Linked DNA regions of Astyanax mexicanus. The protein of the gene in region 1 purifies or fractionates together with the protein of each later gene. This does not show direct contact. Links are inferred from orthologs where the notes say so. Each region holds a gene or a part of one and is shown on either strand. Other genes may lie near its edges.

Region 1 (16,482 bases):
CTTGGCTAGCGCTAACGGTTAGCTGACATTGATAATATTGCTGCACCCAGCTATAAAGAAAATCTGGAAATCTAAGCTTACTGTAAATAAACAGAAGCGCTTTACTCACCAAAATAAACAGTTTTGAGGAGAGAAATCTGTGTAGATTAACATTCAGTACTCATTTGACTTTTTTTTTTAAGAATAAGAAAAGTTTTGTTTACTTAACTTAGCTCTACAGGTCTTGCCATCCAGCTGCAAGACCTACTGAATTACATGGACACTTAATTACATGACACCCCTGTGCCTTACTAGTGTCACATAATGCACTTTATAATCCAATGTGCCTTGGATGTGGATGTGAAAATAGACGTTTATTGATAGTGCGCCTTATAATCCAGCGTGCCTTATAGTGTGAAAAATATGTCAATAGGACCAATTACCATAAATGAGCTTGTATGTCAACTTTTTTAAGACAGCAGATGGTCAAGTGTGGAAGATTATCTGTCAAGAATAAAAAAATAAATAAAAAAAACTACAAATCTACAGAATTCTGTATAAAGAAGGCTACAGTAATGAAAAGGGCCACCTGAGACAAAACTGTGAGTAATTAAACTTCTCAGTGTCTCTCCCAGGCCGGGGTACAGGTGACGCAAGCAGTGGAGCACAGCCTGAATATCCAAATCTGCCCTCCAAGGGCCAAGAGGCCACAGAGTGAACATGACTTCTTATTAGGACTTGTGAAAAGAAGAGGGGAGGCAATGACAGCCCCTCGTTGAGGGAGCCGGCTCATGTGCTGTGTCTCTGAGTCAGCTGCAATTATTTCAAGTGGCAATGACATGAATGCTCTCCCAACCCCTGTTTGGTCACACACGCAAGGGTCCTCATAGCGTCCTTATAGTACCCTTGCCCCACAGCTCTCACACAACACCGCAATTACGCTGTGATACAGACACATCTGGGGAGCAGAAGGCCAGGAAGAAAGTCACCGGGAAAGAAATGAAAGAATATATATAAGATTATGGTCAAGTGTTACAAAGTACAGAGAGTGGCAATGGTCAACAGCGTGTATGTACTGTGTACCTGTGTTTGTATACTGCTGCAAAATTGCTAACAGAACTGAGCTGCTTCAAAGTATAGCGTGAGCACTGCATTCAGTCCTGAAATACAGCAGCTTTAGCCCACCCAGACTGGGACTGCTGGCATTTTTTTCAGGGGGGAAAACACTCTGTACTGGTAAGTACGTACATGTGTATGATTTCAAACCAGGAATATTTAACATCATCATTTTTTTTCCCCAGCCACAAAAAAATTAAAAATACTATGGCAACTATAGAGCTACTTTTGATTTGATTAGATGTTTCATTGGGGAAAACCCATGTTCTGTTTTGGACTGCCCAAGGCTTCATTCTGTTCCTTTATTCTGAATTCCATGCATTTTTGCTTTCCTCACAGTGTTTTCTGTCAGCCAACCTTTTATTTTCAATCTCCAGACTATTTTAGTAATAACTCTGAATTATCATTCTGCAACCTTTGACTCAATGTTTTGTAGGACTGCAACGATTAGTCAATATAACTGAAAATTGTGATTATTTAAATTTGTCGATTACAAATTTTATTGTCGACTAATTGTTAATTCGTAACAGGACCGCATTCCACAAAGTTCTATACAGGCTCACTCACACAGTTTACACTCAACTTGGTCTGTTTTCTAAAACTGCCAGATTAGATAATAGTATCTACTCACTAAATATCTGTACTCTCCATGTTTAAACAGCATCTGGACATTTAAATGCCTTTTAAATCTCATGTTTAGCTGTTTTTCTGTTGTTTTTAGAGATGGAGGACATGGAAGAAATAATCGTTGACAAATTGGAAAAATTATTATCAGATTAGTCGACTATCAAAATAATCATTAGATGCAGCCCTACTGTTTTGTCAGTTATCACATCCACACAATGTAATTTACAGTTTCAACTAAACTTACATTCTAGAAATCTCATCAGCCATGACAATCAATACCAGTCGTTCAAATGACAAAGAAAAACTACCAAAAACTCCCCCTAAAAATGTCTCTTAATTACTTAGAATAAATTATTATTCTCCTTTGGTTCTTCTTTCTGTGCAAGTGTGAAATAATCAGGAATACCCCATATCCACTCACCAAACATTACAGTCACAGGTTTTACTCAGACAGGATTAGTTAGTTAGTTTCATGTGAAGTTGGGGAAATGTAATTATTAACAAAGTTTTCATTGATTTTAGTCATGTTTGAATACACAGTTTTCACATGTCATAGGTCAGACGTTTTCACTGTGCACACCCATGTCAGTAAATATTCTGACGCCTTTTACCTTCTGTAAAACAAGACCACTTCAGTTTCTGAATCAGTTTCTCTGATTTTGCTATTTTTAGGTTTATGTTTGAGTAAAATAACATTGTTGTTTTATTCTATAAACTACGGACAACATTTCTCCCAAATTCCAAATAAAATTGTAATTTAGAGCATTTATTTGCAGAAAATGAGAAATATCTGAAATTTCAGACCTCAAATAATGCAAAGAAAAACAAATTCATATTCCTAAAGTTTTAAGAGTTCAGAAATCAATCTTTGGTGGAATAACCCTGGTTTTTAATCACAGTTTTCATGCATCTTGGCATGTTCTCCTCCACCAGTCTTTCACACTGCTTTTGGATAACTTTATACCACTCCTAGTGCAAAATTTCAAGTAGTTCACGCTTGGAAAAGTTTGTAATTCCAAAGCGAGTAAAAATAACACAAAATTAGTGTTTAGTTATTAGTGACAAAGTAAACCCAGTAGTAATCAAAGCCTTAATTTAAAGTCTTAATGTGTAAAATTGTATATACTCCTAACAGTAAAGAAAGTCACAAACCTATATAAAAGCCCATTCATGTACAAAAAATAAAAATAAATAAATAAGATAAAATAAAAATACCATGATATACCCTAAAACTGTCAGAAACTTGAAAAATACCGTGATATATATTTTTGGTCACACCGTCCAGCACTAATCCCTAGTGAAATCTCACAGCTCTCTATTTTCTGCATGTAGTTAATATGTTTGTTTTACAGGTTAGGATGCAGGAATAAAACCGAATACATCCAATTACCACCACTGATGAAACCCCGTGCACTTCCTTGATCTGATTCAACACTGCAAAGAAAATGGAAAGAAACACTGTAACTGGGCTAATGGGTCCACCCAGGCGCAGAACGGTATGGCCCGGCCTTAGTTACCATCTGGCCCTGCAGTAGAAAATAAGCCAAAGCGAGACAGACGAAGAAAAGAATATGAGAAGGAAACAAAAATTGACCATCTATAAGCTCAAAAGTCAAATATATTATTTTATGGTCTACAAAAATCCCATTCCTTACGTTTCCCCCATTTAGCCAAGACTAATTCCACTTAATATACACAGAGAGATCTGTGCCGAAGGGGCTCTGCTCCAAACGGCACAGCAATATCTTATAAGTCCAGAAAAGACTCCTTTATGAGATATAGCCTAACCATTTAAAACTTTGATTTACTAAGATATGCCTCAGCAGTATTTTTTTTTTTTTTACCATGGAATCTAAGGAAGCCTAACAATTCTGCGCTATTAACAGATTTCGTTTTTTTGTCTGAACATCTTTAGATTTCGGTTTCAGTGATTAAATCTTGGGCGCTTTTCCGTTTTGCAGTACTTGGTTTCAGTAGCTTTTTCAGTCATTTTGTTTTGTACATCTGGCCCATATCACATCCCCGAAAAGAGAACATCCTCTCAGTTTCTGCGGTTTTTACACATTGAACCAGAGTAGTCTGAATATATACATAACGCATTGTTGAACCGGACATTTTTGGCTCTACACCAGTGGGCCTCATACAACTCACACAGGACTTCTTTTATTAATCAAATTTTTACAAAGTAAATATAGCAGAACCTTAAAAAAGTCTGGTACATCTTTTTGTCTTCTGTACTCTATTTACGAAATCTCTTTAATTTAAAAAAAAAATTTCTCTTCTTCCTGTCTGCTTTTGCTCTCTTTATATTTTGGTCTGCAACCATGACAGAAGAGCTCTGACTGACTGGCTTGTTTTTAACCCATCCTATATAATGCAGAGAAAGAGCAGCCTCTAATCAAAACATGTACACAGCATTGCAGTCAGTTTCAGACTTTGGTGTGAAGAAAATAATTTATATATGTGAAGATAACAAAACTGTATATAGCTCCTTCTTAGAGGAATATTAAACAATACTACTTTAACTTCTCTGATGTGTAATTGTGTAATTTACATGTATAAGTAATATGGTAAATTTCAATGATTTTCAAATTGTTCTTTAGATTTACTCTGATAGTACTCAGGCAAACTCATACTAAATGGGCCAAAAGAAAATATAACTGTCAGTTTAGGAGCATGTCGAGAAACACAAGGCTATGATGAATAGGCTGTTACCACCTCCACCACCATGACATTACATAATTTAAAACAGTCCACACTTGCAGTCTGTGATGCTCAGTTGCGTCATATCAGCCCAAATTCTGCAGTACTAGGCCAGCTCATACTTCACAGCCATTTCAGGTTACAAACAGTCCTTCAGATAAACTGCAGGAAACGGCACTAAACCAATCTCTAACACACATACCACAATGTGAACCATTTTTACAGGTTTTTAATATAGTATACTGTTTTAGCAATTAATAGCCACATAAGTTATGTCATGGAAATACAAGTTAAAGGTCTCCTTTCACTAAAATTTTTAGGTCTCTTCTTGTTGTATATGCATGCTGCACATGAAACGGTTCTTTAACCCCATTGTCTGCATTAGCTAAGAAAAGAAAATACTCAGAAAAAAACGACTGGATCAGAAAAAGCAACAACTCGCCCAACTTGGCACGGGATCGCCCACAGAGCTGAACCTGGGCTGCAGCAGTGCAGACACAGTCTCATCAGCTAAAGAGCTTACAGCTCTGTTTACACCAGCTTGTTAATGTTAGCTATCTTGTGTAACTAACTATAAGTTTACATCGGATCTCCGGTGGATTCCGCATTTTACTGAGACCTTAAATGTACACTAGGAAAGCACGGTTTGACAATGCCGCAGGGAGAGCAGCGCCACTGAGCAGTACGACCAGCAGTCGCCACTCACCCCGCGGCCGAGTGCCGCTGCCTACACCTCAGGCGAGCTACGCTGCTCACCCCGCGGCCAAGCGACGCAGAGAATCTGATGTTAAGTTAAGTTTAGGACTTCATTTTTCCTAGCACTCAGTGCTATATCTTCACAACTAAGGCTGTATCTCTGAAAACATTTTTATCCTTGGAGTTTTAGAGCTGTAAAATTGACAGTGGGGCTTTTTCTGCTGCAGTGCTGTTAGCCATTTAGAGGCGATATAAGCAAGAGCCGAAATCCTGTCTTTCTTCAGAGACCACTAATCCAGTGAACTAAAGCAGGGTTATACAGAAACACCGGAGCAATTTTTTTCACAAAAAAAAAAACGGCTGACATGGCATTCGTTCATAAAAGAGATCACAAATAGACATTTTAATATGAACAAAAAAAACAATGGAATGAGATGGAAATACTTAAAGTATTTCCAGGTCAGCTATGATTTAAGATTCCTAGATCAAGATTACAAAAGACAATCTCTATTTTGTGTGTTAAATGTTGAATTACACACACTACACTGATTTGTATAGGATGCACAGAGATGCTTAGTTTTGATTACAGGCAATAGTTGCCTTGATTGAGCAGATTGACCGGAGGGCTCTATAAATGTTCATACACTATACTGAAACTTTGCTGAAACTGCAGATGCAACAACACAGAGGGTAGAACGATCCAGAAGTGTATTATGTACACATGCTAAAAAACTATATATTAATAAAATACAAAGTCTGGTGCAGTACTGCTTAAACATGAGCTCTTCTGGATTCAATACATCAAATATTTGATTCAAACTTAAGTTAAATCTAAATATCTTATCAACAGTAATTTCTGAAAGTAAATGCAGACATTATTCCCATGTTTTGCATCCCTATTTGAAACTGTTGCACCAGGTATTGATTTTGACTAAACACTAAATGATAGACAACAAAGTATGTCTACACAGGAGGCTAGAAGCTAGTAACTTAGCATTGCATATAAAACCAGCCCAAGCTGCCGTTCGCTCTTCCCATTCCTAGTTAGCCTGACTTTTCATCAAGAGCTCAAGCCCCAACAAATCACATCAGCACAGGCCCATGCGAGGTTGGGCATCATTAATCTCACTTCTGCAGACGTGGCGGCGCAAGTGAAGTTCTCATCACTATTTGGCAACAGGCCAAATCTCGGCCTACTGATATAGAGGAGGATTAAATGCAACCTAATCTGCTGTGGAAACACAAAAGCTTGCTACTCTACACACAATGTGCACCCTCAAAAGAAACAAATGGACACTGTGTTGGTTAGAGCACAAGTATGTGACAAAACGGTGAGGCATTACACCGGCAATGCAGACGGACACAAAGGCCTGCAATGTCTACAGCAGGGATCACCAATTCTAGAAGGTCAAAGACTAACATAGTTTGGTGATTGTCCTGCTCAAATACCAGATTTAACCTGTGAGTTAATTACCAGTTTCAGTAGGTGTGCTTGAGAAAAGAAATCACCAGACTGACAAATCAATAACCTCTGGTCTACAGCATGATTCACTCCTCTTGGAAAGATCTAAACAGTGACACCAACAGAAATTGCTAAAGCTCCTCCAGTAAAACTGCTTTGAAACACTGACGTTAATTTCGGCCTCACTTTTTCAACTGATGCTTACTTGTGTAGATTAAATATATAATCATTATATATTATGACCACAAAGGAAGACAAATGCAGTAGCTGTTATGTCTGAAACATGAACAAAACAATATATTTTTTTAAACTAGGGATCTAACAAAATAAAAAAAATAAATTAAATGAAGGCTTTCAAACCTTTGCAAAAATGACAAAGCCTGAAAGTATTTTTGTCATGTTTTCCAAAGAAAATGTCATTGTTCAGTATAAATATTTCACCTTCTTTTTATTAATCAACAGAAAAATTGTGGTCGTTGAACAAATTTGATCAAACATAAGACGAGTTTAAGAACTTTTGCAACAGCAAGCAACAGGTTACTGTGTGAGTCGATTAGCTAATGTATTGGTTTGCAATGTTTTTATTGTTGACACAATGTAAACAAGCTAATGTAGACTTTTTATAACTCTGTCACTGCTGGATGCATTAGCAAAACTAAGTCTGTGACCCTGAAAAGGCCTACTGCCTTTGGAAAATGTAATACATAAATGGAGCTACTACTTTACAGATCCTGAGAACATGCTGCTCAGTTCAACAGATAACATAGCTTAGCTTAGCAACTCAATCAGGAGAAAATTAGCCAGCTCAGCATCCGTCTTGTAGTCCTTCTGGGTTTTAAGTTGCCCCCATTATCAAACACACAGTCAATACACATTTTCATTTTACTCTAATCAAGGAGTTTTTTGAATGATCTAATGTTGTTACTGCTCATCAAGTTGGCTTTCAAGTTGGCATCAAGTTAAATTCCACACCTGGCAACCCGGAGGGTGCAGAAATAGGATAGGGGAATGGGGCAGTGGGCAGGATTAAAGGCCACAACACAGATTTTCGCTCCATAATGGAAGATTCACAGAAGAACATCAAACTGGCTGAAACCCTGTTTATGAAGAGATGCTAGTGCTCAAACCTGGCTAACAGGTTTCTGTAGTATCTGGAGTTTGTACAGAAAATATATTAGCTAATACTTATTGCTCCTTTAAAATGTGCTGTATAATCAGTTGAATTAGCTATGTAGAGTAGTTAGTGCAGAACTATTCACACACAGACAGAGGGAGCAAAGTGCCCATCTGGTGTTTTTTTATACCCACACTTAGCTAGGCTAGCTATCTTGGCTATTCAACAGGCTGACTCTTACATCCCCCCCTTCAAAAATGTAGGGATGTGAATCAAACTGAAATAATTATAGCTTATTTTAAAGCTTAGAGCCTTAGACAACTATCAACATGTTACAGCCAGTTATCTAGCGTTAGCTAACAAAGTGCAACAGTGCAAGCTCACAGATAACGTTGACGTGTGCATTACAGGTTTCCTTTAGTTCAGACAGCTAAGCTACCACATTCTCACCTGATAAAAGTGATTTAGCTAGCTAGCTAGCTGGCTAAATATACTGACAGCTATGCCAAATCATGTCTTAAGAGCATCTACTAATAACCTCCTCTTCCAGATTGCTCGTTTAAAATTTAAAAAGAGTGGAAGAAGAAGAAGTACTGTATACTTTTTATGGTTAAAACGTTTTTTAGCTTTTGTGGTTATATATTTTTCTGGTTCTTATATTAATCAGCCAATACTTTATAAACTAATGTTTGTTGTTTTTATTTTTATCCAGCTATTACTTAACTGGTTTCCATGTTTATCTTTACACGTTACTAAGCTACTTTTGCACTTTGAAGCATTTTAAGCATTTATTTGTCTTTTATTTGATGGGTTATTGCTGTTTTCTTTCTGATGTCACTCTTAAGTTATAAATAACTTTATTAATTCATTTTGCTTTAAACTTGCTTAGCTAAACTGCCTGTTTATTTGTTTTCTGTTTGTTTTCTGATGTCTTAGGTTTGCTGATGTTTTGTTCACTTTGCATTTGAAGGTGCTAGTTATTTGCTGGTCTATTGTAGCTATTATTATTACTGTTATTATAACCACAGTAAAGCTGAATTACTATGCCATGTTAGCCAACTTACTAGTTAGCTAAATAACTATATGTCAGGTAACGTTAGGTATATAAGTTAGCTGCCTGCATGCACGGTAGCTAGTAAGCTAATTTACCTTATTTAAAATCAGTATCATGCAGAAATTGGGCTATGTGCTCACAGCAATTTGCAGTGCGTGTAAACATACGAGCTAATGTTTGTTAGTTATTTAAAGCTAGTTAGCTGCTAGCTAAGCTAGCTACCTTTAATGGCAAAGTAACAAGTCAACTACTCACTCACCGCAGTTGTTCCTCGTCCTGCTTCTTCAGCTACAGATAAAAGCATTAAATGGAGGCAGTATTCACAGAAATATGCTTATATCCCAGTGGTCTTCCAAGCAGGCACCGCTGAGAAACCTAGCTAGTTAGCCAGCAGAAGCGCTAACAAGCCAGCCAGTCAGTCCACTAGCTAACCTAGCTGTGTGGCTAAATATAAGCTACGTGGCTCGCTGCTGTTAGCTAAACCCCCGCGGTACAAAATTACTACTGGCTGCTAGCTGATAGCTCCCCGAGCTTCAACACTGCAGAAATCCCCCGATATAACATCGTCCGCTCGCTTATCCGAGCAGAAACGGCCGGGCTTTAACCGAACAGCGCGTCCTCTCCTGAATACACCGATCTTTCCCAACTGTTCTGCTCACTTTTCACTCTCAGCCTCCATCTGATCGTAAGCTGGGCTCTTTAACCATTTGGACAACCGCCATCATTTTCTCGCTCAAGAATGTACACAATCTCGCCGCGCATGCGCAAAGCGGGGAGAAAAACAGACGGTACTCATTCTTTACCTGATTTTGGGATTTTCTCCTAGTCTGGTAAAATAATCTAGTTAAAGAAGCCACCTAAAATTATAATAAAAACAGCATATATATATATATATATATATATATATATATATATATATATATATATATATATATATATATATATATATATATATATATATATTTGCAATATTAAGTCAGTAAAAAAACTAAACTTTAAATAACCACTTATAATCGGCTACTGGAGCCCTGAGACAGCACAATTGGCCTTGCTCTCTCTGTGTGGGTAGATGGCGCTCTCTCCCCACATCATTCCCAATGGCGATGTCGATCAGCACAAAGCGTCTGTGAGCTGATGTATCTGAAATGAGTTACTTCGCTTTCCTCTGAGCGCGCTGTGATGCTTCTCAGCAATGCTGCATCAGCAGCAGTTCAAAAAGAGGTGATCTCTGACTTCACATGTGTCGGAGGAGGCATGTGCTAGTCTTCACCCTCCTGGTGTTGGGACATCACTAGTGATAGGGGAGTCCTAATGAGTGGGTTGCGTAATTAGCCGTATAAATTGGGGAGAAAATAAAAAAATAAATAAATAACCACTTAGGCTACGTTCATATTACGTTCATATTTTTTTTGTTGCCCAGATCAGATATGACGGTTTACAGTCACAAATGTAAGTGACCTGTATCTCTGTGTAATGTGAACAAATCTGTCTCTGAAACGCCTCACATGCGCACATACCTGTATAAACGTCGCTGTCTTCACAAACAATAAAAAGTGTCATATTTGAGAGAAGACTCGTAGCTTTATAAAAGAAAATGCATGCAATAGCAGCTCATATGTGTAGCATCTTTGCTCGAGTGGAGAGCAAACAGCTGGTCTGAAGTACATGCTCAGGTCGAGGAGGTGAAAAAAGCCCAGGCAGCTTGCTTTTGCTGTTTTGCAGCTATAGCTGCTCAGCTGCACCAAGAGATGTGTGGGTACGAGAGAGAAGCACGTAGCGCATGCATAAAAGCAAAAGACGCATGAATTCCGATTTGACCGCTTACATTCATGTTGTATGTCCATGGATCAGATATGTAATGTGCCTACAGGTCAGTGAATCACAGACATGAATGCAAGCAGTACATATTTAATGTACATTATATATTCATTTGACTTTTCCCTGAAACACCTGCTGTAAATTAAGACCAGCATTGCATTTTATATTTGGTCACGCTGGTCATTCTGGCCAAAGGGAATGGCCTTGCAAGTTGAGTAACTTGGTGATACTGGTGATGCTGGTCAAACAGTGTGGTCATGCTGGTGGTCTAGCTTGATGTGGTTGATCATGCTTGTAGACCATCAAACTCAAACAAAAACATACCCTATTCTGGTCAAGAGCTACTATGGTCAACAAGCTAACCCAGCTTTACCAGGTTGATCTGACCATACCGATTATTTCAGCAAGGCACATATGATTTTACGATTCCACTTAAGCAAATGTTTAGTTTATATTATACTTTATTTAAGCTTTCCATAAAAATTAATCTGCTCTAAGCAACTTAACCTTTATAATAATGATAATGCAATTTAACTTTTAAATAAAAGAGGAAATGTCCCTTAACAAGTCTGCTTATGTTGAAATTTGGAAGTTGCTTGTTTTAAATCTGCCAACAACTGCAAAAAAAGATACAAAAAGTGACACCAGTGTCTGATACACAAACCTGTGCAAAGGTCAGAAGGACTCTTTATTTGTTTAATTTCCGGTCAAAGTGGCCATTAAGTGCAGGTTATTCATTATTAGGTATTTCTTAGAAAATTACATAATCTGCTTACACAAGGTTAAAATAAAACAATAAAAAAAACAGAGTTTCCAAAAAAGGATTAAAATACAGAGAATTGGAACTGTAAACTATATTGTGCAAGATCTGGCAGACCACTGTTCCCATCAGATAAACAGCACTAAAAGCTATTAGAACAAAGAAAAATGAAGCTCCACTCTTGCTTTAGATCTGAAAATGAAACCACATGTGATTCTGTCCATCCCACCACTGTGAGAAAATGCCTCAACACTGCAGGTGTGAAAGGATGTGAAGTGGATAAAGATGTTCTTACTGAGAAAAGAAAAGATAAAAAAAGAAGAAATCAAACAAAGAAGCTGCTGCTGTTCTCAGAAAATGGACTGACAACTCTAGAGTCCACACATCAATATCTTTTAGTGTGCCTGAAATGACTCGGAAGGTGAGAAGCAGATAATTCTCCAATTTTTTTAAAACTAAACTTTGTAGATGTGGAAAAATCTCTCTACAGACTATTGCAGGCAATCAAACAAATCAACTGATAAAATTAAAATATTGTAATGATACTGACTTTGATATTATTATTTAGGTTTAGATGTTCTACTCCAATTTTCTGCTTAATACATGAGTTTATATTAGACTGCATAAATCTAAACAAAAGCATTTGATAACATGCCATTAATGATGTATGTCAGTATTATCTAGCTCTGAATAATTGCATACTGGTTTATTACTATCATTATTATTATTATTAGAAATGGCATTTGACTGTTGTTACCCCACAAAATAAAAAACTCCCTTGAACACTTTTCTTTAATAGATGAGACGTATTCATGTCAACGTTAAGCTCAACAAGACAATGCAAAACCACATGCTGCACACAATACAAAGGCATGGCTGGATTTTGCTATTTATAGGTATATGTATGAGTAACAATGAACATTGTTGTTTTATTGTATAAAATACAGACATAATTTCTCCCAAATTCCAAAATAAAAATAGTTCAGGAATCAATATTGGGTGGAATAACCCTGGTTTTTAATCATAGTTTTCAGGCACGTTCTCCTCCACCAGTCTTACACACTGCTTTTGGATAACTTTATGCCACTGGTGCAAAAAATCAAGCAGTTCAGCTTGGTTTGATGGCTCATCCATCTTCCTCTTGATTATATTCCAGAGGTTTTCAAGTTGGTAACATCAAGGAAAAACATCATAATTATGTCACAATTATATCATAGTCTTTTATTTTTTTCCAGAGTATGTGAAGAACAATCTAATAAACATTCAGCAATAATAAGAGTGTAATTATACAAAATAACACCCAAAACACTTTACCATTCTAACTTTTTTTGCAGGCCTGAAATGCAGGAATAGATGTATATGACAAAAATAAGATTAGTTTGAATAGGCAATATCTTGGGTTTATAATGTCTACAATGTAGTAGTCAAAGTAAATGTCAAAGTAAATGTAAGAAACACTGCATTTATTAGGGCCCGAGCACCGAAGGCGCAGGCGAAGCCTGCACCGGAGGTGCAAAGCCCTATTGTTTTTGGTCCGTTTATTATTATTATTATTTATTATTTTTAAACTTTGCGCCCATTTTTGAGGCCTTTCCAATACACGAAAACTCAGGCATTTTTGCACAGGCCTCAAACTCGGCGAAAATTTTAAAGTTCCATAGAGGCTGGACTTTGGCGTGGTTCAGGAGCTCTATAGCGCCCCCAAACGTCGACATTGGCCAAGATAAAGTTTGTCCAATGTGCACCAACTTTGGTATGCTCATTGACCTCCTCATACATAACAAGAATCACTTGTTTAATCGGACTCTGCCAAACAGGAAGTCAGCCATTTTGGCAGGAAGTCGCAAAATAAAAAGTTTCCCGCTGGGTTTTGGGGGGGTTATGATGTTCAAAAACTCATAAAACTTCACAGGCATACTTGGCTTAGGGTGACATTTGAAATAAAATTAAAACCTTTTTTGTATGTCATCTATAGAATGCTCGAAAATTTTGACAATTGGCAGACTCAGTAATGCTTTCAAATCATTTCGAAAAATGTAATCGTTTTTCGAATAAGTAGCTAGATGACTCTACAGCGCCCCCTATTTGGTTTAGGCTAATAAATTAGCTGTAGCTGTCTCAAAATTTCTCCAATGTTCTCGATTTTTGGTACAAGCATAGATACTACGATGCCACACATAATACCCATTGGCATGTATTAGCTCCGCCCAACAGGAAGTCGGCCATATTGAAAAATAAGACATTTTTACACATTTCAGTCTTCGTCAGATTACCTCTAAATTGGGTCTGGATATGCTCCAGACATACTAAATACTAAATTGCGAAGGAATAGTTGATAGCTGAAACGATGATGTAATGGCGGGCAATTGATTTAATGGAGACGCAACACTAAACCAAATAGAAACACGAACATGGTCAGAACACAGCTGCTTCGAAATTCATGAAACTTGGCAAAAACATAAAAGACATCATTACACACGTTTTCAGGGTTGATATGATTGACTCCGCCCAACAGGAAGTTGGCCATTTTGAAAAACGTGCATTTTACACACATTTTTTGCATACTTTGTCGAACTCCTCCTAGGGAACTTGTCGAATACTTTTGATATTTGTCAGCAATAAACTACTGACACCTGATGATAAATTGCGAAGGGATAGTCGATATCTTAAACGAGAACGAAATGGCGGACAGTTGAATTGCTTGAGATGCCCCATTAATACAGGAAGTGAATACATCTTGGTGTTGGTAAGTGTTTGGGGAGGTTGCAATGGATGAAAACTTACAAAACCTTACAGGACTGCTTGACTTATGCTCTCCTTTGATCTGGAATTGAAATTTCATATATACGTATTTCATTGGATCTATAGCTCCACCTAGCTTTCAATGCATAGTTTACATTACGGGAATGCTCAAAATCTCAAAAAAAAATTGGCCGCTACAATATAACTGTACATTTCGTGAGAAATCACATATGGGTCCAACTTTCACCAGCTTCTTGGTTTGGCCCGGTACGATTTGCGCTGATATGCGAGGGCCCTACGTCCCCCTGTGACAGAGGGACAACTCGTTAGGGCCCGAGCACCGAAGGCGCAGGCGAAGCCTGCACCGGAGGTGCAAAGCCCTATTGTTTTTGGTCCGTTTATTATTATTACGCTTCTTGACCCTTTCGCCCATTTTTGAGGCATTTCCGATACTGGAAAACTCACGCATTGTGGCACAGGCCTCAAACTTGGCGAAAATTTAAAAGTTCCACAGAGCTTGGACTTTGGTGTGGTTCAGGAGCTCTATAGCGCCCCCAAACGTCGGCAGTGGCCGGGATGAAGTTTGTCCAATGTGCACCAATTTTGGTACACTCATTGACCTCCTCATAAAGAACAAGGATCACTTGGATTTATTTGACTCCGCCCAACAGGAAGTCGGCCATTTTGACAGGAAGTCGCAAAAAAAAAGTTTCCGGCTGGTTTTCGGAGGGGTTAAGATTATTGAAAACTCCTAAAATTTTACAGACCTATTTGGCTTAGGCCATACTTTGACCTTAAATTGAAATTTTGTATATTCGTGTGTCATCAGCTCTCTAGCGCCACCTATTTCGTATGACATTTTTGGAAAGCGCTCAGCCTCTTGACAATTGGCAGATTCAATAAGGCCTCGAAATGATTTAAATATATATTGTCATTTTTGTTGTGTGTAGCTAGATGTCTCTACAGCGCCCCCTATTTGGTTGGGCTAATAAATTAGCCGTGGCCTTCTCAAAAATTCTCAGATATTCTCGATTTTTGGCAGAAACATAGACAATATGATTCCGCACATATTAGCAATCGGCACATTTTTCACGAACTCATTCGAACTCCTCCAAGAGTTTTCGTCACATTACCTCTAAATTGTCTGTGGATAGGCTCCAGACATACTTGGTGATAAATTGCGAAGGAATAGTCGATAGCTGAAATGACGACGTAACAGCGGGCAATTAATTTAATGGAGACGCAACACTAGCCCAAATAGAAACATTAGCATGGTCAGAACACAGGTGTTTGAAAAATCATGAAACTTTACAGAAACATAATAGACATCATTACACACATTGTCACCATTGGTATGATTGACTCCGCCCAACAGGAAGTTGGCCATTTTGAAATATGTGCATTTTACAACAACTCGTTTGATCTGTTTTTCTGATTTTGGAGTTGAAAATAATAATCATAATAGATGGAAAAAGTCATTTGAATGTAAAAGTATTTGCTGCGGCCGCCAGAAACAGTAGGCTTGCAAAGCCATAAAAAATCTGATAATGTTTCCCCAACATAGCTGAAAAAAACATTTCTACAACAGAGATCACAATGTATGCTTTTATAGTTAAGAGGCGTATTACAGAGTCAGGCCAGCAGGGGGAACTGCAAGTAAATACTTTGAGAGAAGAGCATTTATAAATCTGTACAGTAATTCCACTACCAGCACAGACACTGTGCCTCCTGGACATGTGAAATTGCTTTAATTAAATTTAGAAAATGCTGTAGCTATCATTAAATTGCTGCCCAAACATTACCAAGCAGCATATTGGAAATTACACTTCTTATTGCTTTTTGTATGATCCAGTAAATGAGAAACTTTGATGAAAATCTGCTAAAAAAAAAAGAGCAATCACAAACATGATGATGCCACATAATAGGACTACATTTTTTTATTGATTTTTGTTTTTAAGTTTCACTCAGACATACTCAACATGGACAAAAGTATTAGGGCAACAGCTCATTTATTGCTTTATCCAAAATCAAGAGTTTTAAAAAAAGATTTTGTCCGGTTTTGTTGGCGTTCCAATGAATACTAGATATAGCACCCTCATTCCTGAGAACATATGTTTAAGACATGTATTCAGGAATAATGGGCAAAATAACCCCCTAAAACAGTAATTACTTGGTAATTCTAAGTGGTAAAACGTCTTTTAAGTGTTTTATAGAAATACTGGGCAACATTATAAGTGTTAGAATTTTTTTTTAATGTTTTTGCAGGCCTGAAATGCAGGATTGGATGTATATTAACAAATGAAATGAAGGTGTCCAGATTAAACATTAAATACATTTTGTAATAAAACTGCAATAAAACAGTCAATGTCAATGTTAGAAAGGAGTTTATCGGTTGGTATTTTAAATGCTCT
Region 2 (16,611 bases), on another chromosome or scaffold:
AGATAATTTTTTTAGTTACAAAATGTAAGCGAGTAGATGGATGAAAGATGGATGAAAGATGGATGGAACATTCTAGTTCTATAACTTGTGCAGGTAGTTAACGTTCCTTAATTCAGAGTGTCATATACTGTATTTGCTCAGAATGTGTCACAGAAGACATTCTCACCCACAGTGACTGGCTGCATCTGGTTAAAATCTCTGTGTGAACAGAAAAGCGACTTTGACAGGAAATCACATCCACGTTCAGTTCAGAAAGCCCCACACACACATCCTGTAGGTGAGTGCAGTGTTTTTTAGCTTGCGTTAGACATGAAAAAGTCAATATTAGTTTGGCTTATCAGTGTAGTTTGTACGTAAAAAAAATATTGGAACATTTTTGCCATTAGATTGTAAGTGTTAAGGATCTGTATCACTATTAAAAAAGAGAAAAGTTTCATCCCTGTTTTCACCCTTCACTTATTTCTGCTCGTCTGAGCTCAGTTTCAGATCACAGTTTGAGTTTTCAGGAGAACATATGGAATAACAATAGCACAGTAAGTGGATGCCATACCAAACCGATGCACTTACTGACTGACTGACGGCTCTGAAAGAGTATTAATGTGTTTCCTACCTCCCAGACATCATTACCAGTGGAGTGATTAAGTGAACCCTTCTTTCCAGTGTCTGTAGTCGTGTGTTGGTGAGCTTATGGTATTAGTCATCTTGCTGTTTTAGCTGGTCTAGGCTGTTCAGAAAGGCTGGGAGGTATTCAGGCTGGAGATATTAAACCAATCAGAGGAGGAGGAAGAGGATGAGGCCAGCAGACAGTCACGTTCCTCTGGGGAAGCCATGACATTCTGAGCTCATACTAAGTAAGGTAGTCCTCTGGGTTTTCCGAACCAGGACTGAAGAGTTCTGTACTTGGCAGCAGGCCAACTGCATTCCCGTTAGCACCACCTTACACCCCAAGCCCACATACACACACATACACTGATACACTGTGTTTTCTGAAATGATGGAGCTCTGCTCAGTGCCTGTGGAATGATTAGAAGTGGTGTTTATGACCCAGAAATATGATCCAGTCATCCATCATCAGGACCTCTCCTCACTAAGGAGGCTTTTCTGCTGCATGGTACTTACCAGCAATTCCAGCAAGACCTGTAACTAATTCCAAAATCATGATTTGAGCATTGGAGGAAACAATTCTTCCGACATAGGAAGCGTTTAGAGGCTGTTATTTCTACAAAAGGAGGATTTACTAAATATTGATTTAACTTTTTCTGTTGGGTACCCAGAATTATTGCACACTTTCTGTAAATCCTATAAACTTTATTTCACTTGTTAAGTACCACTGTGTTTATCTGCTATATATTATATTTAACTGAAATTGCTGATCAGAACAACCAATGATTTATAAAGGAAAATCCTGAAAATTATCAGGGGTACCCAAACTTTTTTTTATACCACTGTATGTAGTGTACCCGTTACATTACAGCAGCTTTATTTACAGCTGTGTTGAGCGGAGAATGATTCTTTCTTGCTTCTAGTCTCAGTGACAATAGTAATAATAGTAATGATTACTAAGAATTGCTGCATTTAACCCAGTGCCATTTACCTTTCCTGACCTTGTTTCTGTGCTATTGTTGCGCTTTTTTCCTCTCTTTCTTTTTAATGCATTTCTATCTTTATCACACTCTGTCATAATCCTGTTTGTTGTGCCAAGTCAGAACCATTAAGATGCCATTTACTCTGTTGACATGCTTAATTTGACCTCAGCGAGGGACGTCAATAGAGGGCCCCAAGTGTCCTAATGTCTTTTAATGCTCATGTGCTCGTGTTCCGTGTAGTCAAAACCCCGAGGCCTACATTCCGTCCAGCCTGTCCAGGAGATGATGTGATGTTTCTGCAGTGAGGACGGTGCTAACTGATAACTGGTATGGCCCAGCCGTCCCTGCGTCTCTGAGTCTCTGAGGTCACGGAGGGTAGGCGGGTTATGAATATATGCGGCTGTGAGTCACAGGGTGGAAAGAGGGGGAAGAAAAGAAACATGGTTTTGCGTGGACATCTGCAAATGTAGTGGAGTGTTTAATGTGTTAATGGCCTCTGTGTGTGTGTGTGTGTGTTTGTGTGTGAGTCCATGTGCGTATGTCTCCTCCAGTGTGTGTTTAATGTGTTAATGGTTGCTGGTTAACCATCCGTAGTATGGACAGTGACTCACTTCCACTTGGCCGAGAGCCCAGCTGCAGCAGGTGGCACAGCTCCTCCTGAGAATTAAAATCTTCACCTTTGGACAAACCATGGTTTGGTCTGCTTTCATTCTCTCTCTCACTCTCTCTCTCTCTCTCTCTCTCCTCCCTTCAGTGTGCTCTTGATGTTCGTTTATTCTGTTTTGTGCATCTGTGCTCCAGACTGCTTGTTAAAGTTCATAGGTCTATGGCTGGTCATGCTTTAGCTCAGTGGCTTTTGTCCTAATCAAGAGATCTGAGCATCACCAAACAAAACAAAAACATATCTGATGCTGGAACACAGATGACTGATCAATAGATCAATAGGACTGCAATGATTGGTATCAGTCAAGTGGCAAACAGTTTGAATTCTTGAAAATGTCTTAAGCTCTTTTAGATGCTATTGGTTTTACCAGATTAATCACAACAATATTCTGACATTAATTGTGATTAATCGCACTGGTCTTTCTTACAAGACTTATGCGTTTAATAATGCATGTGTAAATGTAATTTAGAGAATGAATGTAAAATTGTGAAATGAATTAATATTTATATTATTGGCGTCAACCACTTAAAGGCATCATTCCATCATTTTTTCATAAAATGTCTAGTTGTGGTCTCTAATATGAATAAATGCCATGTGAATCGGGTTTTTTTTTGTGAAAAAAAGTGCTCAGGTGATCGGGTATCGCACTGCTTTAGTCCAGTGGGGGAGTGTGCGGGGAGAAACGAGAGGATTTCGGCTCTTGCTCATGCATGCAAACATATCGCCTCTGATTGGCTAATTCACCCCACACTAACCCACTCTGCACCCTGCACTTTACTTCACTACACATCTGGATTTACATCTGTCCAATGTGTCTATGTATGTATATGTATATGGAGGAATGTTAAGTGTTTAAAGTGTTTAAAAAAGTTTTTTTTCCCCCTATTACTGAGAAGGACTACTCACCCAAGTGTTTTACTCACTTGAATACCTGTTTTTTAATTGTGGTGATGTGGTAAGGCAAACTGAGGGATGCACAAAAAATAATTTTTTCACTCCTCTGAGATTATTTTGAATGCTAAAACTGTAATATAACGTAACGTCTTTGTTCACAGGAAGATTTTTGAATCAATACATTTATGATGAGGTATAACTGTCGGAGGACGTCCTGTGTGATGACTCATTTCTCTCGCTCTCTTTTTTGTTCCCCAAAAGGGGAAGTAATGATGATGTCACCAGTGTTTGCCAATGTAATGTCATAATTGGAGGGAAAATGCTCTCCTCTCATTTCTTTATGACTTTTTTTCCTCCTTCATGATAAGACTTTATTAATGTCACCTCCAACAATATGTCATCTTCACAGACAGGCATCTCTGGTGACAGCACGTTTATCTGGTGCTTTGTGCAGCAATATACTGCGTGCATGACTCAGAGCTTTTGCTCTTTCAGTGTGAAAGCGTCTTCAGTTTCCCCTGCACCTGGATATCGTCTAGTTTTGAGGTCAGAAAATGACTTGTCCTCTTACTCAGAACTTGCACTAATTAAAACGGGCTTTCCGTAATGACAGTAGAAATCCACTGACCTGCTCTTTGTGAGGAAGTAAGTCAGTATGGCCTGCGGGGACTGAATTGGATCAAGCTCACACGTGGCCTGTAGAAACCATCCCTGACAGAACAAAACTTTGTATCTTCATAATGGTAAGTTAACAGGAAAAGCAGGGGTGTTTTTCAGTTTCATGAGAAAAAGCTGTTTTGGGACACATTTCTGGTGGTCCCTACATCTTCAAATATTGACATAGTGTAAAAAGCAGCTAGCATTTACAGATGATCTAAATAAATACAGAAAGTTCAGAGGTTTATATAATTATTTATATAATATCTCAATTGTACTTTGGTTTTCCACAGACATTCCACAGACAATTCCTTAGCTCAGAATTACTGGGCAAATCATAGAACACTGATGTGTTATTTGCACAAATAACACAGGAACAAACTTCCATGCTGTTCCTATCGCTGTTAGCTCCTGTCTGACAAGACAGTGTCGCTGCCTGGCTTTTGCAACAAATTAGCCTCTACATGTTTGTAACACGTATGTAGGCCATAGAGTATAATACTCAATGACTTTATGATCAATTATCAAAATCTGCTAGACGTGTTGCACCTAGATTTGATTAAAAAAAAAACACCTGAATATTTATCCACATTTGCCTGTGATTGGTTTAACTTGGATATTTTTTATGTCTCATAGCCATGCAGTTCTGTAACAGCTTCCTCCCCCAACACAACAATTGCATATTAATTGTTCATACTGAATAATTTTTGAGTATGTAGTACAGATATATGTTTAAGGTTGAGTACTATACTCAAATATCCAAGATGCATACACAGAATTGGTTGGTTGTTACATTCCACAATGCAGTGCAACATCAAAAGACAGGGGCAAGTGATGTCTAGAAAAGTTAAGGATTAAAAATGACAGATAACTTTAACAGATAAAATTAAAGTACAGCAGCGTCAGCACTAGGAGAACTTGCAGTGACTTACAATACGAAACTCAATCACTTTCTTAGTACAAAATGTGTAAGTAACATAACACAGCAGGAATCGGCCATGAATTTTTGCCGCGGGCCAGCTATTTTTCAAGCCACAAAAAAACAAATGTTTTGCAAAATGAAGTGTAATGGGATGGAGTACTACAGACTAGTAGCTCTCCAGCCCAGAGGGTTTCTGAACCCAATTGCAGAACAGTTGAATTCAAGGCAGGCAAATCCAAGAAACAAGGAAATAAATAACCTGTGTCGTCAGGATCGCGGTCCAATACACTACTGCTGCCCTGGCTAGTAAATTGGGACACGACTGGGGAAAAAAGTGCCCTTATAAGGAGATAGAAAGCCCAAAAACGGGTGGAAAAACGAGAACAGGTGGAAACTAAAGTCACGCTGAGAGCAAAACAGAGAGATAAGGGAGGAATGTAAACATAGGCTCGCCAGAGAAGCATTTTATTTTTTTTTTGTTTCATTTTTTCATTTTGTATTTATTGTTCATTATAATTCCAACAACCTTACGGGCCAGATGTTTCATGAGCCACCTTTTGCCGACCCCTGTAATACAGGAAGATAATAAATCCTGCACCAAACAACTGGGGTTATACATACTGTAGGGTCCATTAGATATACTCTACTCTAACAAGATCCTCCACCTTACAGCTAAGTTGCTGTGGCAATTTATGATCCAATCAGCAACTCTTTCACTCTAAAATTCTTGCATCCAGACTGCAATTGAAAAAACAGGACCAGAATTTCTTTTTACTTTATCAATCACATGACATCGCGTTCAGAAGCTCCTCCATTTCCACTCGCTGTTGTGTTTAAGTGCGTAGTAGTGGACAAATATCTATTTTTCCGGAGGAGTTCAGTGAAAAACAGTAGGTAACTCAACCCCTAATTTTCTCAAGAAGACGTTTGAGAAAAACACATACATGGTCGTTCCGGACAGGAATAAAATCACAGCGGACCCCCCATAAAAAAGAAAATTACCCCAGGACCCCTGTCAGAATAGGGCTTAAGCTTAATCTTTGTCTGGAAAATTGCCCTTGGATGCATCCCAATTTATGTAAATTCAAAAATCCACAATAAGAATCATTTAGTTTTTAAGTGTGTGGACACAAGACACTACTACATCAATAGCTACTCATTGGCTACTCATATCTGGAACAATATTAGAAACAAAATAGAACTTGCAGTGACCTACAGTATTTACATAATGTGCATCTATTAAAGTTAGTGTACAGTAATGCACCTTCTAGTATTCGTGTATAGTTCACATAGTTCGCAGCCACTGTGTTTCTAGTTCCTCTGCAGTGAGCTGTGAAACTGTGGGTGGAGAGCGAGAGATAGAGAGTGGGAGGCAGAGTTAGTATGGGGGCGACCCAGGGATTACCCCTAAAACGGAAGTAGAACGGAGAACGTTAGTAGACACAGTAGTCAGCACAACTGAAGACACAGGGACATTCCAATGATTGCTCTTTTCTTTCTCAAAGCCCCCTTTCCTTTTCTTCAGATGTCTATCTGCTCTTCTCAGCAACACTGAAAGAAACCACTTGCTTCCTGTGAGAAACAGAAAGAGGGAGGTAGACGAAATTAGGTCAACTACATCTAAGAGTGAGGAGAATTCCTATCAACTAGACCCAGTTATGTACAGAAACTGCATTAAAGAACGTCATATTTCTCAGTTCATTCACTAACTCGTACAGACCCCTCTGCTACTGCACTTGTGGCTTAGTGGTTTATATGCTGAGATACTGATAATGAACCCTGTGGGTTATGGGTTTAATACCCGTGTCCACTAACCACTAAGCTCCCACTGTTTGCCCCTTGAATATGGCCCTTAACTTCTCTGCCCCAGAGACTTTGTAACATGACCCATTGTTATTCTGTACTGAACAAGTATAAATAATAGTAAAGATACTTTATTACAACTACTGAAGGACAAACTGAACGGTGTGTTCTTTTGGTGTTCAGTGCTGGGCTTTGTCAGCTATACTAATTTAGAAATCAGGTAAAATCATGGACACAACAGATACTGATGGAAGATTCTAGTCCTGGGGTACCACTGTCCTGCAGAAATATGTGGTTTTAATCAGGAGAGGACTGTTATTAGGTCACAAAGGTCAAGACTGAAAAGCACTGGCAATATACTATTATGAATTCAAAATAAATCTACTTGGCTACTAGAATGTTTTGTAGATCAGTGTCATGGTAGTTTACATTAAATAAGCAGCACAATGCAACTCTTCATTTATAGATTGATCTGGGACGTGGCATATAAGGTGTAAATCAAACCCCTGTTGAGTGTGTAAATATACATATACATCTATTCTATTAATCTACTCTAATTTAGAGTAATTTATAAAAACACACTAAACTCATTATGGATGCTATTTTCATATTTCATTTTTTTTTATTATTTTACTAAGAACACGCAGTGTACATAATTTTAATAACAGTTTACATATGACATGGTGGCTGGATTAAGCTGGATGGATCCTGTATAACATGAAAAACGCCACAAATAAACAATGGATCATCTGTTCTGTGGAATTACATGATGTAATTTCCTCTTTGTAATATCTTTTAAAACAACAGTACATTAGGACTGTTTGATATGTTAGAAATTCTGCCTACTCACACAGGATCCTAAAGCAGGAGGCTTAGCTTTATGCTAATAATATGTAGCAGTGAGCTGTCTATACTTTCGCAATATTAGGACATATTGTTGCTTTAGTTGCCATATATATACACACACCTTTTCATTGAATGATTTTTTTCTATATTTCTTTATTTATTTTATTTCTACATTTTAGATTATTAAAGACATCAAAACAATAGAGGGGCGCATATGGAAAACCACAATGACATTTTACTCAAATGTATACCTATAAATAGTAAAATCAGAGAAACCGCTTTTTGAACTTTTATTTATTTATTTTATTTATTTATTTTTTTTTTTTATCATAAGCCATCAAACCAAACTGAACTGCTTGAATTTTTGCTCCAGGGGTGGCATAAAGTTATCCAAAAGCAGTGTACAAGACTGGTGAAGGAGAACATGCTAAGATGCATGAAAACTGTGATTAAAAACCAGGACTATGAATTGCATTATTTTAGGTCTGAAAGCTCTGTAATTTCAGCTATTTCTCATTTTCTGCAAATAAATTCTCTAAATTTAAAATATTTTTGTTTGGAATTTTGAAACAATGTTGTCTGTAGTTTATAGAATAAAACAACAAAGTTCCATTTACTCAAACATATAACTTTACCTATAAACATACCTGTCAAGTCTCCCGTTTTGGCCGGGAAACTACCGGATTTTACTCCTCTTTCCCGCCGTCCTCCCGTATTAGTATTTTCCCGTAAATTTCCCGTATTATACTAAAATAAAAAAATATATATTATTGAGGAGACAGGGCACTGACCGCTCTCTTAACCAATCGTGGAGCCGGTTCAAGGAGAAAGTCCCGCCTTTCAGGAGAAACAGCCAATCAGCTTGCAAAGGAGGGTCAGTGTGGGAAAGCCCCCCGTCGCTGTGAGTTCAGGCAGCTAGTTAGAGCAGCTGATGTTAAAACATACATGGATATACAGCAATTTTTCTAAAAGAAAGGTAACGGTAGGCTAATCATGTAAACTGTGATGAGATTTTTCTGATAGCTGCTTAAAAATACAGCTTGTGACTTTAGAAAAAAATACAGCTTGTGACTCTAGAACTAGAAATGTGGAGAGGACCGAAATTAACTGAACTGATCAGGGGTGGAGTGATCAAAAGAAAGAAGTATTCATTAAAAATTATTTTGTAGGCCCCTTAGGACTCATTTTACTGATGGAACATATCTGGTCCATGTCCTTTTAGTAAAAGCTCATGATACTATTTTTAGTTAACCTACAGTCATTTTGCAGAATTTGTGCACTCTTTGTTCAATTTTAAATCCATTAAATAAATAAAAAATATATCATATAAAAGAGTGCATTTATTACAAAAAGACATGAAATCTTTTTTTTTTTTTTAATATATAGAAAAGGGTATTTAATTTGGCTGTATTAAAAGAATGACATATGTAGGAATGTCCACAACATTTCAGATTCTGATAATCTAATTGTAGTGTGTAAGTGGTTCACTTGTGGTTATTTTAGATTTTTTGTAAACCTGTCTTAAAATGTAAGGGATACTGAACCTTCGTTGGGCTGGTGGGACGGTTTTAGGAGTACAGAGGAAAATATCCCTTATTCTTAAATCTAAAACTTGACAGGTATGCCTATAAATAGCAAAATCAGAGAAACTGATTCAAAACCTGAAGTGGTCTCTTATTTTTATTTAGATATATATGTGTGTGTTGTTGTTTTTTTTTTACAATAATTTAAAGCACATGTCATGCTGGACAATATATTTTGGAAAATGATATTACAATACAAATATTGTAAAATTACATACTTTAATTTACTCTTTAGAAAATGGTGTTTTATCTTATATAGTGTTCTCAAGGAAATTTTAATTTAAAAAAGTAAACTGGAAATACAGTTTGGCACATTTTAGCGCGTAATGTATCTCACCAGTCGCTGCGTGTTTAAACAGCTCGGGTGTAGTAGAGTGACTCACTCACAGCAGCTATATTTACCACAGTGACGGACTGAGGGCAGATCTGAGATGGGAAATGTGGAAAGTTTGCTAATTAAACGCCATAAAAAGATTAGTTAGTAAGTGAATGTAAATAGCATATATTATATATTATCTATTAAGAGTACCGCTGGGAATAAAATATCCGTATTAACTCTAATAATTAATCATGAAAATCCACTGAAATCACGAAACTACCAGGTTAAAAAACTGTGAAGCACGACCTGCGCGCATGGTTACCGGGCAACGCCAAAAACCTGCCCGGCCAATCAGGAGGCCGCTGCGCGCATTGATATGAAGTCTTGTTAGTTTTTTAAAGTGCGCGGAGAAAGCGCTGTAGTTAGTGCGAGCAGTGCGTAGCAAATATCACTGATTTACACATACACACGATCTAACCTTAATCCTGGTTTAATCAGCGAATACGGCTGGAGTGCAGCACGCACTACTACTGCAGCAGCAGCAGCACGTGTATAGAGAAATGTAGTGCGGCGGCGCGGTGGAGGGCGGTGGGTGTGTGGTTATATTTTTACCCAGTGAACTCTTCGGCTTAAAAGAAGGCGGTGCAGCTCTTCAGGCCAGAAGCGCAGGAGTCTCTCTGTAGAGCAGCGAGCACGCGAGTGGATGGATGAACGGATGGAGGGCTGGATACTGAACCTTAGCTAGCTGACGACCGTGTGGTGCTGTGTACTTAACTTACTGGGTTGAGGACTTTGCGAGGATTCACGTGTTTACAGCAGGTTTGAGAACTACATCTGTATATTTTTATACTGATACATTTAATATAACTTCGTTAACCTAGGTCACTAAACCTTGTCTAAAGCTCGTGGCGTGGTGTTGCCCTGCTGAAAGAGCCAGGGCAAGACCGGCTGGCCATCCAGAGAAAAAAAAAAAAGCTTAGGCTTTGCTGGGAGGCTAGCTCGTTAACTAGTTATTTGTTTATGAATAGGTTTTCTCTGAATGATCCGCTGGATTTTTAGCAGAGTGGTTTTAAGTGTAGGGTGTTTGTGTCAGGCTGATTGAAAGTTTTAGCTAAGGTTTTTGGGGTAAACTTTGGTTAAAGTTGGCCTGGTTTTAGTTAAAGTTAGTTCACTGAGCTGCTGCCTGTTTCAGTCGTGCTGAATCAGGGTAGGTAGATGGGTTAAGTTAGTGATGGCCGCTGCTGAATTAGAACTATTCCTGTCAGGTTTGGACATGAAGCCAGCCTGTAAAGTGGTTTGGTGTTGTCTCTGTAGAGCCAGAGTGCATGTGCTGCTCGCTGTTCTCACAGGGCATTTAACTCATTGTATGGAGTTGTTTTGCTCGCAAATGCTAGTGAGTTCTTTGGAAGGTTAGTTAACCTTCTATGGCAGTGGTTCTCAAACTTTTTAGGCAGTGTTCCACAAATTCTTAATTATTTCACGTAAATTCAATATACCTACTGAAACATGTCGGAAAGCTTAAGACCGAGGGAAATAACAGGAGTGTGAGGCAGAAAAGTGGACTACACATTCTACATGGCACCCCTTTGAATCCTAAGTTAATTATTTTACAATTATTATTAAAACAGAAACTATTATGAATGGTGTTCATATGTAGGGCTTTGAAACAATAAAGAACTAAAGTGTAAGCTACCAGGTTAAACAGTAAACACCAAAACACCTGATATTCTGTAAATTAGAGGTCAAAACTCGTTACGTTTCAATTTTTTTCATCTGGTGTAAAGTTACCACCCTTAAATTATGTGTACCACCAGTGGTACACCTACCACAGTTTGAGAACCACTGTTCTATGGCATTTTAATTGATATACTTTTTGGGAGGACATTTCATTAGGTATTTTATAGCAAGGAAGCACGCAAAACCAAAAGAGATGAGAACCACTGCTTTTATCATGATTATTTTAACCTAAAAGTTAGAAGACTGTAAGAATATAAACGGACACATATTTAAAGAAGTGTATTTTCTGCACATGGACACTTATTTATGACACACTAGTATGCCTTATTGTATTGAAAGTAGATGTGCCATGTAATTTATGATTGATATAGATTTCGTTTTTCGTTTATTCGTGTTTTTTCCGTCCTGGTTTGGATGGGCTGTAAACAGCAGTGCTCTCCTGCGTGTGTGTTCGCGTTCGCGGCGCTGCTGAGTCTTCTCGATTGTTGCTGAAAGCTGCTGTGTCTTTCTGGAAAGTGGGGGAGTTACTGTGGGCTTTTCTTTTCACTGATTTTCTGGTGCTGTGGTCCAAAGGCAACACTTTTATCACCGTGACTGAGAGTGTTGTCCAACCTGCTTTTTGCTTGTAATCCGTCTAGATATGGTGTATCTAAAAGTATGCAGTCCTGATAAACGTCAGAGCTCATTGGTGTGTTGTGGAGGCGTTTGGTAGAAACCCGTTCATTTTCCTTCCAGCTCTTTCTTTTTAATTTTTTGTGCTTTAGGTTTACCCTACAGTTTTGTGTATTTAATAATTAGTTTAATATTGATGATATTATTAGTTATTTTATTGTGCCTTTTATAGAATGTACTTTTATTTTGAAGTGCCTTGGTGCTTTTAAATGTAATTTTTTTTTAAATGAATATAAATGATAAGTATGTAGTTTAGGGCTCACTGGTTTGGTTGATTTCCTTCCAGGCAGTTAATTATTTTTTTTCGTTGTTTTAGGTTTATACATTTGAATATTTAATTTTAAATGGTTTAAATTTCTTTTTTTTTTTTTTTTTTTTTTTTCCCTCTTGCCTTTTTTAAACACTCTTATTTTGAAATGCTGTGGTGCTTCAAATTTAAATGTTAAAATGTAGTGCAAGTTGTTTAGCATGATTTTTTTTAATTTATAATTTATTAAAAGTATTTTATTGATTTTTATTTATTTGTTGCAGTTTGTCTGAAGGAACCTCAAGGAAGGCAAACATGGCTGAAGCTTCATCCAGCAGCGAGAGCGAGTCTTACAGCGTACTCACCTGGGACCAGGTGAGCCGCCTGAACGAGGTGCTGACCGAGGCGGTGCCGGTCCATGGCCGAGGCAACTTTCCCACACTGGAGGTCCGGCTGAAGGACATTGTGCAGATGGTGCGTAACCGCCTGGAGCAGAGGGGCATTCAGGTCAAAGACATCCGCTTGAATGGCTCTACAGCCAGCCACGTCCTGGTGAAAGACATCGGTTGGTGCTACAAAGATCTAGACATCATTTTCCGAGTGGACCTCCCCCAGGAAGCACAGTTCCAGCTCATCAAAGATGTGGTGCTGGGCACTTTGTTGGACTTCCTGCCAGAGGGGGTGAACAAGGAGAAAATCACACCCATGACCCTAAAGGAGGCTTATGTGCAGAAACTTGTGAAAGTTTACACCGAGCAGGACCGCTGGTCCCTCATCTCCCTTTCCAACAACAACGGCCGTAATGTGGAGCTCAAGTTCGTGGACTCGATCCGCAGGCAGTTCGAGTTCAGCGTGGACTCCTTCCAGATTATTCTGGACTCACTGCTCTCATATTATGACTTCTCAGAAACCCCCATGTCTCAGCATTTCCATCCCACTGTGCTTGGGGAAAGTGTGTATGGTGACTTCGCTGTTGCTCTTGACCACCTCAAGAACAAGATGATCGCCACCAAAAGGCCAGAGGAGATCCGTGGGGGTGGGTTGCTGAAATATTGTAACCTCCTGGTAAGGGACTTCAGGCCCACGGATGAGGAGGAGTTTAAAGCTCTGGAGCGTTACATGTGCTCTCGGTTTTTCATTGACTTCCCCGACATCGGTGAGCAGCAGAGGAAACTTGAGGCCTACCTGCAGAGTCATTTTGTGGGCGAAGAGAAGAGCAAGTATGACTACCTCATGATCCTGCGGCGAGTCGTGAACGAGAGCACAGTGTGCCTCATGGGACACGAAAGGAGGCAGACTCTCAACCTCATCTCACTCACAGCGTTCCGGGTGCTGGCAGAACAGAATGCCATACCAGATGCATCCAGTGTCACCTGCTACTACCAGCCTGCGCCTTATGTCAGAGACTTGAACTTCAGTAACTATTATGTGGCCTCATGTAACCAGTCCATTCCAACATGGCTGCCGTGCAACTAAGACATTCAAAAGTAGATGTTTCGTTGTCAGGGGGAAGAAAATTAAATATAAAGAGTGGCCATTAGGCCATATGTGCCATTTTCCCCTGCAAGCATAATATACATATTTAAAAGGACTATTTGCTTTTTGTGTTTTTCCTGTTCCTTTTTTTTTTTTTCTTTTTTTTTGGGGGGAGCTTATTTCTTATCTGCAGAAGGGTTGAGACCTTTGGATCCAAAGTGATTATATTTTTAGTGCTTAGATTACATTTATATATACTGATGGGTATCCTTTAAATTTGGTTTGTAGCTTATATTTGTGTCTCTAAATGGAGTAGTTCAGGCCTAAAATCTTATGTGCCTTAATGCTTCCCTAACACAGATGGAAAAAGAAAATATACAAAATATAAAATCTTCAGGGGAAAAAAAAAGTTTGAGGAACAGTGTTTGATATATTTCTTGCGATAAAATGAAAATGGAAAAAAAAATCTATGAAAAAAGTTTAAAAACTATTAAATGTAAATTGGAAAAAAAAATACAAAAGGCTTTTGGGGAGAAAAAAAAAACGAGCACAGGCCTAAACAGCAAATTCCAATATGCTATGAGGAGGGTTTTTTTTTGGGTGTGTTGTGTTTAGTATGTGATGTCTCCCCTCTTTCATTCCCTCCCCCCTTTTTTTAACCACTACTGGTGAGCTGCTGATATGTTTAAAAGCCTTTGCCTTTATGTGCATTTTTATCTTTTCCTGTTGCTCTCAGCTAATCATTAGTTCTAGTGGGGTGAAGGGATCTTCATGCTTCTGTTCTGATGGTTACAGGTGTGAAAGCGTTGTGAGTATGGCATTTGCAGTGTGCTTCAGTCTAACTCCTCCTTTACTGGGTATTTTTAGTGTTCTGGGTATTACATGCTTTCGGCGCTGTACAGCTGCTATCTGTAAGCTTATTCAATCATGCGTAGTTTGTGTAGTTGCTGTATAGCCCGGGTCACAGTGTAGTCACTGAACATGGCAAGAGCATGGTTTCAGACAAGTTTGAAATGAATAGTGTAACATGAGGGAGGGTTTTGGCTATGTCAGCTGCAGCAAGGGGTAGGTCTGCTACCTTTTTGAATGACTGCCCTATGCAGGAAGTCGGTTCTAAATGAAAGCATGAGAGAGAGAGGGTGTGAGTGAGTTAGTGAGGGAGACAGAAAGAGTGAGCAAGGTTGTCCCTTTCCTTAAAAGGGTAAGGCTGTGGGTGTCCAGTCCTCTTGAGTCTATCACGATCCTTAGCAGGCTTTGCATCGCTCGCTGTGTAACGAGACTCCACGCTGGTGTCACACTGCTCTATATTTATCCAGTGAGGAGCACGGGTTGGGGGAATGAGGGTGGGAATATGCGTATGTGGTGTTCCACCTCGTGTGAGGGGTTAGTATGCTCAGCAGTGGGGCACCCTTGTCTGGTCAAAAGTAAAAGAAGAGCTGAGCATGGTCATGTTCATGGAAACACTACTTCGTTCCAATTCTGGACTGCTTTTTACTGACCACTGTTAATGCTGTGGTTTATGTTTCACACACAGCGTCAGCATGTCTTTATCACACTTGCATTATGATTTAGAGCTACTCCTGTCACATCTTAGATCGATAATCATGCCAGATCATATTAAATGGCCTAAATTGTTAATCTGTACAATGTGGGTAGACCCAGGTATTGTCCCAGGATTCCACTGCCTGCCTGAAAGGCCTTCTTCTGCCCTCATTAGCTTACTCGGCACATAAAGGTGAGAGAAATGCTGGAGATCCCTCTGGCTGCCCTTACGTAATGGCTACAGCTAACAGCTGCCCCGATAGCCCATACCAAGGCTCTGGCTTCCCCCCCCCCCCCCCCCTCTTTCTCTTCTCTCTGCAAGAGCGTGCACACACAGCTGCTGCCGGTTCAGCATGCACAGGCACACTAGCACACGCTCTGATAACCTGAAGAGCTGGACTTGGCCTCTTATCTGCTTCACACACAGACTTTGGGAGGGAGGAGGGGGTGGGTCACAGTAGCCTCTGCTGCAGGCCCCGGTCACACCCCTAGGTCAGAGCAGTTTGAACCAGAGTTTGTCCTGCTTTTTGCTTCTTTTTTTCCCCCTTCTTGTCTGGCTATCAGTTATTGTTTTGTGTGTAGAAATTTAGACTGTGGACCAGTGTTTGAACCAGCAACAAAACACAAGTGCCTTACTGAGTTTGTGGCAGTCTGTTTTGAGTCTATGGAATATGAGCATTGACTGAATTACCACATTTTGTATTTTTTTCTTTTTTTTTGTTTCTTAAATTTGTTACATTTCCCAAAAACGTGCAAATGGAATTTGAATGGGATTAGAACAAGTGACCTTATGGATCTAGTTCTTTTTGGTGTAATGTGAAAAGTGCCACCTTAGTTTTTCTTGTTGTCTGTGAACAGCCTAAACGCTGCAATACTGCTACCCAACTTTTCTCAAACCTAGTTGTCTAGTCATTCCAGTAATTGTTGCTTGTTTGAGGCTGTGTGTGTTTAACACCCTCGTTACCTCCCACTCCACCACACCACCAAAGCAGAGCATAGAGCACTGAGCAGTTTTTGCCATATGAGGATGAATGACTGACTCAAACACCCCCAGTAAACAGATGCACTTTAAATCTTACTAACCCAGGTAGCTGTGGAAGCATAAATATAAGCTCTAAATGAGGCCGGGACGAGGCAGAGGAGGGATCTCAGGGAGATGGGACATGTTTGTGGGATTCATGTATCTTTAAACTGTGGCTTATACCCTAATTGGTCCTGCCCCGTTTGTGTGTGTGTGTGTGTCCGTGTCCGTGTGTGTGTGTCCGTGTGTGTCCGTGTGTGTGCGCGCGTGTGTGTGTGTGTGTCCCAGGATGTGTTTTCAGAGGAGAGTATGTATTATGTAAATGTCATCTCCTGCCTGTGCTGCATTGTTGTCTGCTTTGCTTCTTTCTATGTGTCTGAGTTTCTTTGGCTGTCAGTTCCCCATTAGTGGTCTTGGTTCTGTGTCAATATTTTAAACCACCACCACTTAAAAAATATGTAGGATGTGAGGATTAAGACCACTGATGTGAACAAATGTGATCTGTAGATCAGTCCTGCTGTAGCTCCTATTGATCTGCTCGTGATTGGCTCCTAAACCCGTCATTCTCAACTCTGGTCATGGGTTGCCTCTACACAGGTCCTACAAATGTTGTCCAACTAATAATCAATCAGTAATTAAAAA

The links.
Region 2: the proteins of fndc3a (region 1) and tent5c purify together in Homo sapiens (affinity purification with western blotting; 3 studies listed by BioGRID, with this or other methods). This does not show direct contact. The link is inferred for Astyanax mexicanus from reciprocal best matches to the Homo sapiens genes FNDC3A and TENT5C.

Annotation. Positions count from the first base shown.
Region 1 is NC_064425.1:22,180,863-22,197,344, forward strand, and holds the start of fndc3a (fibronectin type-III domain-containing protein 3a), read right to left. Parts: upstream 9,488-16,482; 5' UTR 9,007-9,487; intron 1-9,006. UniProt on the Homo sapiens protein: Mediates spermatid-Sertoli adhesion during spermatogenesis.
Region 2 is NC_064418.1:25,925,481-25,942,091, reverse strand, and holds the start of tent5c (terminal nucleotidyltransferase 5C), read left to right. Parts: upstream 1-9,651; 5' UTR 9,652-10,093; intron 10,094-12,214; 5' UTR 12,215-12,245; coding exon 12,246-13,406; 3' UTR 13,407-16,611. UniProt on the Homo sapiens protein: Catalyzes the transfer of one adenosine molecule from an ATP to an mRNA poly(A) tail bearing a 3'-OH terminal group and enhances mRNA stability and gene expression.